Callithrix jacchus: one gene and its partner. The protein of the gene in region 1 binds, or shares a complex with, the protein of each later gene. Links are inferred from orthologs where the notes say so. Each region holds a gene or a part of one and is shown on either strand. Other genes may lie near its edges.

Evidence for each region. Proteins that work in one complex are often made in the same cells at the same time.
Region 2: DRC9 (region 1) and DRC8 share a complex: the UniProt entries of both Homo sapiens proteins name them as parts of the nexin-dynein regulatory complex. The link is inferred for Callithrix jacchus from reciprocal best matches to the Homo sapiens genes DRC9 and DRC8.

Annotation. Positions count from the first base shown.
Region 1 is NC_133518.1:81,434,553-81,437,807, reverse strand, and holds the end of DRC9 (dynein regulatory complex protein 9), read left to right. Parts: intron 1-394; coding exon 395-526; 3' UTR 527-838; coding exon of another isoform or gene 839-850; 3' UTR 851-2,755; downstream 2,756-3,255. UniProt on the Homo sapiens protein: Component of the nexin-dynein regulatory complex (N-DRC), a key regulator of ciliary/flagellar motility which maintains the alignment and integrity of the distal axoneme and regulates microtubule sliding in motile axonemes.
Region 2 is NC_133520.1:41,147,455-41,150,954, forward strand, and holds part of DRC8 (dynein regulatory complex protein 8), read right to left. Parts: exon of another isoform or gene 2,662-3,500; coding exon 2,582-2,661; exon of another isoform or gene 1,375-2,581; coding exon 1,332-1,374; exon of another isoform or gene 1,186-1,331; coding exon 1,119-1,185; exon of another isoform or gene 1-1,118. UniProt on the Homo sapiens protein: Component of the nexin-dynein regulatory complex (N-DRC), a key regulator of ciliary/flagellar motility which maintains the alignment and integrity of the distal axoneme and regulates microtubule sliding in motile axonemes.

The DNA.
Region 1 (3,255 bases):
CAGCTACCTGGGCCAAGGGCAAAGGCAAACACTCGGCCAAAAATGTAGACAATGCCAAGTGCCTCCCAAAGTGTTGGGATTACAGGTGTGAACCACTGTGCCCGGCGGAAGTCAGATTTCCAAGTATGAAGAAAAAACAGGCCAAGTCAGATTCCTTTCATTTTTACTCCTTGAGAACTGCACTGGAGTTCATGGCTTAAGCTCCAGGTCCTGCACGACGGGAGAGCATGGCTATAGTGACTACATGCCTTGCCACTTCCATGTGCTGCACAGAGACCGTTTTTCACACAGAAGGTACTTTACTAACAATCCTTCACGTGGACAGAACGCAGCTTGTCAGGCGCTCTGTGAGTGAGTACAACTTACATTGTACTCACCCCCTTTCCTCTTCCAGATCCAGGCCTGGTGGCGAGGCACTATGATACGGAAGGAAATTGGTGGTTTCAGGATGCCTAAAGACAAAGTTGACAGCAAGGATTCAAAAGGAAAAGGCAAAGGCAAGGGGAGGAAGAGAGGCAAGAAGTGACCACGTTGTCTTCTGTCTTTTCCTCTGGTCTCTGGAGGTGGGAAGGGCGTGGAGAGAGTAAGAAGCACCTTGTACCATCACAGGTGACTCATCTACAGGTTGTTTCCCAGGCGAAGCCTGCTGATTTCACTCTCTGATTTAGGATTGTACCATTGACTTAGGGCTTTCTCATACCTTGCTGTAAAGAAGTTTCTGGTAGTCCTGTGAAGATTCATTCTTCTTGCTCTTTCACAGCAGAACCAAGCAGTTCATTGTCTTAGTAACAGCAATGCATTAAAACTTCAGTAATTCCTGTAATGTCTGATTCCGCTTTTACCCAACTGTCTGTAGTGAAAAAACTCTGATGAGCAAAAGCATTCAGTAGGAATTAGAAGATGATGTTTATTAGCTGTCCCGCATAACACAGACACAGCGAAGTTTTAGTAAATGTTGGTTCCTGCCTGCCTTTGACATTTATCTTCACGTTGTTTTTATTGGGGTGAAAACGGCATGGAATACATATCCAATTATAAGCTGCTTCCACAACTTTTCTGGGAAATAGGTAGGGATACAAATTATAAATACAAGCTAGAAATAGGATGTTAGGATATAAAACTTTACAAACTGTAAAGATGAGGACATAGGTTCTCTGGAAGGGTAGTCTGGAGATATTTGTGACAAGTGAAACACTCAGGCCAATACCTGCTTTGCTTACTCAACAATTCCCACTTGATGGAGTGTTAAGATGAAAATAGACAAGGCGTGTAAAAATATCTAACCTGTGCCTGGCACATAGGAGAGCTGACTGTCATTCTCCCTTTTCCTCTAGAAAAAAAAATGAGCCCACCAGGTCATTCTTGCCTTGATTAGTCAAAACAGAATATCTTGGGATGCTAAGGTTTCCCTATAGCATTCCTAGAGAAAAGCTGCCCTAATGTGTCACATACATTTCATGAATTAAGCTTCTATCTCACTCACTCCAAATAAAGCAGTCTTTTTTTTTTTTTTGAGATGGAGTTTCACTCGTTGCCCAGGCTAGAGTGCAAAGGCACAATGTCAGCTCACTGCAACCTCTGCCTCCCAGATTCAAGTGACTCTCCTGCCTCAGCCTCCCGAGTATCTGGGATTACAGGCATGTGCCACCACGCACAGCTAGTTTTGTATTTTTAGTAGTAGAGACGGGGTTTCTCCTTATTGGTCAGGCTGGTCTGGAACTCCCGACCTCGGGTGATCCACCCGCCTCGGCCTCCCAAAGTGCTGCGATTATAGGCATGAGCTACCGCGCCCGGCCTAAAGCACCACCTTGATATCTGTACTTCATTAAGAAAATCAATTTTAACTCAAAAGACTATCCTGAAGCCCCTGTTTCTACTGACATTCCTTCTGGAAATACACGCCCTTTCCTTGATTCACCTCTGCCAAGGGAACCATATTTCAGGTATGAACATTCTCCAATCAGCTGTTATTACACTCCACTGAAGTGTTGGCTTTTATTTTAATATCAACATATAAAGTGGCATACAGGCAATTTAAAATAACACATGATATTGACATATTTATACTTAGAACTTATGCAATATATTTACAGACATACAAATACAGGACAATGTTTTTGTTACAAAACCTTTCACTAATTACATGTTTACAACATTTTCAGAAATAAAATGAAACTTGCTGTAAACCATCTCACTGCACTGTGTATATAGAAATGCTTCTAAATATCTATGTTTTCCTTCATTTCTATAACCATTTAAGCGCGTAGTTTCTACAAATTCATCAAACTCATCAGCAGAGTCACACATCATTAGTCACTGCCGAGCTGTAGAAAGAAATATCGCAAACTCCTCGATTAGCTGTATTTTAAATAGCTCTTAAGGAAGGTAGTCTACTACTAAGACCTTCCTGCTCTGTGTTCTAGAGGAATACAAAGGCCCTCTTCCCATGGTTGTTTCCAGACCTGGCCATTACAAGAGAACAATGGAGTGTAAAACATAGACTGTGAGTCTGAAATCCTGGAAACTGCTGACAGAAAACCTGTCAGTGGCAAGGACTCTGCTGGGTGGACTCTCAGCCTGTTGACACTGTCAGTGCTGGGAAGGTCACTGCTTCAGGTCAGCGGAACTGTGACAAGGTCATCTTCATCTTATGCTGGAGTCAAGCAAAGCTAAAGGTTAAACTGAATTGTGCTTTCCAATTTTTTTTTTAAAAGGTACATACAAAATACTGAATACAAAAATTATCCCAACAAAAGCATCGTGATTTGTTTTTGCGTCTTGATACAAAAGAAATTCATACCTCTGCAGAGGGTTTGAAAGAAAAAAGAGAACATCAATGTATTTGATATTTTTCCTTCAATTACCAGCCAAAACTGCAGTTTTTCCTAACAATTCGAATACAAATCTGATTTACTTTGATAAAAATACATTAAGAATGTTTCATAATATGTGCAAAATTTGAAGTAAGTTGAAATTTCCATTTACTCCTAAGGGAAAATAAGTTGCAAATGTTGCAAGTACTGTATTATATAATGTCTTCTAGAATTATTCCTTGCATAATATGGTGTGTTTTTTTTTTTTTTTTTTTTTTTTAAGATGCAGTCTTGCTCTGTTGCCCAGGCTGGAGTGCAGTGGCATGATCTCAGCTCACTGCAACTTTCGCCTCCCAAGTTGAGGTGATTCTCGTGCCTCAGTTGCCCGAGTAGTTAGGATTACAGGTGCCTGCTACCATGCCCAGCTAATTTTTTAATTTTT
Region 2 (3,500 bases), on another chromosome or scaffold:
TGATGGCGGTGTCATTCTTACTCCCACTCCCTGTATTCCCCCTAATGGATCACGCTGGAATGGTCAAGCCAGTTGTGCACGTAGATGCAGTCTTAGCTTTCCCTGCTCCAGATTACTTGCACTTTTGATTCTGTCTCAAGTGATTAGCAACTCTGAGTCATTCAGAACTCAATCTGTGAACCAGAGAGCTCTAGCTCTGTACAGGAGAAGGCAAGGTCACCAGTATGAGGATGGTTTCAGGAGACGACCTTCAGGGAAAACAAATGTACACATCAGCCTAGCAGAGGGAATTCCCAAGGAAATATGTTGGCATATGTAAGTGTGCAGGTATTATGTGTGTATATGCATATGTATGAAGGGCCATGTTCAAAGCATATATATATGGTTCCATTAACATTAAAAGAGGAAATGTTTAGTGTTAAAAATGACCTCATATTAAATTTAGGCTATATTATCTATAACTTCACCAACAGAAAAGCTTTTTAAAAAGGAATTTTTAAATTCCTTCAGCACTGTGGGAGGCCAAGATGGGTGGATCACCTCAGGTCAGGAGTTTGAGACCAGCCCGGCCATCTCTACTAAAAATACAAAAATTAGCTGGGCATGGTGGCCCACGCCTGTAATCCCAGCTACTTGAGAGGCTGAGGGAGGAGAATCACTTGAACCCAGGAAGCAGAGGTTGCAGTGAGCTGAGACTGCACTCCAGCCTGGGTGACAGAGCAAGACTCTGTCTCAAAAAAAACAAAAAAGAAAGAAATTTGTAGAGACTCCTATTCAGATCTTCAATCTGGGAAGAGGCCTTCATTTACAGTGATTGATAGTTCATGTTTTCCAGATGGCATATCTTTTATTCTGAAAATTCCATTCAGAATGACTGCAATTACAGAAGTAATCACTATACTTTACAAAATCCTCTAAGACAACAACACAGCTCCCCTTATCCTACTCTTCTTAACCCCCACAGAACAGAAACCATCCCCAAACCAAAACAGTAGGAACAGTAAATAACTTTCCACCAGAATGACTGATTCTAACGTCTCCCCATAACTTTACATGACTGCTGACAAATCATGAATTCCTCACGTAGGTCACTGTTGCAAGCACTAAATCACGCTTACCTTCTTCAGTCATGTACTTGATCAATTCGTCCTTAGTAAGAAATCCACGGTTAGCTGTATCTAAAACCTAGGGGAAAAGAAAAGATAGATATTCTATTTTTTCATTTGGTAAGTTCTACATGATGAATTTTTCACATAAATGAGCATACACGTGTGTATATAAATGTCTGTATTTATATACATGTATATGTATATAAGCTGGAGTGTACATACCTCAAAGGCTCGAAGAAGGACATCTTCTGGAATGGGTCTGTATCTATAATTATGCAATAGGTTGAGTCAGTGCCATAGTATTCACCATCGTCTCTGCGTAATAAAGCAGCAGTCTCCAACCTTTCTGGCAGTGGCGACTGGTTTCATGGAAGGAAATTTTTCCACAGACCGGGGTTGGGGGGATGGTTTGGGGATGAAACAGTTCCACCCCAGATCATCAGGCATTAGATGCTCATAAGGAGCACAACCTAGATCCCTCCCACGCGCAGTTCACAATGGGGTTTGTGCTCCGATGAGACTCTGGCACCAGCGCTGCTCTGACAGGTGGCAGCACTCACTCTCTTGCTGGTCACCTCCTCCAGTGCAGCCCAGGGGTCCCAACAGGCCAGGGACTAGTACCAGTCCATGGCCTGGTAGTTGGGGACCACTGGAATGAATAAATGACCACATAAAACAAACCAGGGCCGGGCGTGGTGGCTCACGCCTGTAATCCCAGCACTCTGGGAGGCTGAGGCAGGTGGATCACCTGAGCTCAGCAGTTCAAGACCAGCCTAGCCAACACAGTGAAACCCTGTCCCTACTAAAAATACAAAGATTATCTGGGCATGGTGGTGGGCACCTGGAATCCCAGCTACTCGGGAAGCTGAGGCGGGAGAATGGCTTGAACCTGGGAGGCAGAGGTTGCAGTGAGCTGAGATGGCGCCATGGCACTCCAGCCCAAAAAATAAAAATGAAGAAGTAAAAGCTGCTAACATACTGGGATGGTAATGCTTGCCTCGCTGAAATCTTGTTGGATTTCTGGATGTGAAAGTGGAGAACACCTCAGCCCCACAGGAAGTATTTAGTGCAAAATCACTGACATGTTTGCGGTTATCTATTAGCTTTTCAGAAATCAATTTCGGTGGGCACAAGACTTCCATGATGAACCAACTCTGGCAAGCTAATGCTATATTTGTGCTAGAAATATTAGGATTCTTTTTTATCATTGATAATTCAAAACAGAAGATAAGAATGTTGACTTATGATCTTTGTAGCTTATTTGCCCCCAATTATGCTTTGCTAAGGTTAACACGAATGTGTTTGATATTTCTAAGCATGTACCAACTGGCAGTTCAGAAGTATCTAGAAAGGTTAGAAGGAGGCCACCTTAGGAGACGCTGGTTGAACATAACATACGAAGGGAAAGAGCCAAGCGTCCTGAATGAATTCTGATCGTTGCGTTGCCTTAACAATTGCATTTACTTACTTACCTTCTTTCTAGTAGTATTTCTGTCATCACCGGAAGAAATTTTTCAAATCGAATGTATCCAGTGGGTTCTTCTTCCTCTATCTAAACATTCAATAAGTAAATAGCCATTTATCCATCCAACAAATATATTTTATTAAGATTTCTCTTTATCATTCATCTTGAACCTGTACAGTTGACACTCTGATAAGGGAGACATGCATTAATCAAGACACAGCAACAGGAAGACAGTGTGCTTGTAAATCCATGTAAGCACAGTGAAGGGAAGGAGCACGGGTCTGTAGGAACAGTCAATAGAGAACCCTCGGCCAGGCGCAGTGGCGCACACCTGTAATCCCAGCACTTTGGGAGGCCAAGACACGCGGATCACTTGAGGTCAGGAGTTCAAGACCAGCCTGACCAACATGGTGAACCCCCCATCTCTACTAAAAATACAAAAATTAGCTGGGCATAGTGGCACACACCTGTAGGCCCAGCTACACAGGAGGCTGAGGCAGGAGAATCGCTGAACCTGGGAGATGGGGTTGCAGTGAGCCGAGATCGTACCACTGCACTGCAGCCTGGGCGACAGAGTGAGACTCCATGTCAAAATAAATAAATAGAGCACCTCTTAGACCGGGAGGCCAGGGAAGTCATTCACGAGGAAATAACACTCCAGCTGATTTAGAAAGGATGAGTAGAAGGTAATGAGACGAAGACGGGAGGGAGAGACTCTCACAAAGAGGAAACTGCACGCACTGAGACTCTGCTGACACACTGGAGGCTAGGAGGCTGGAGTACAAGGAGCAACGAGAAGGCTTCAAGACGAGGCTAGGGAGAGGCAGGGCAGACTGCAGGGCCTCCTTGCCCGTGACAGTGATAAGGCTGCTGGCCCAAAAACAGTGGGAAATCACCGACGGTCTCGCTGATGCATGTTTTGAAAG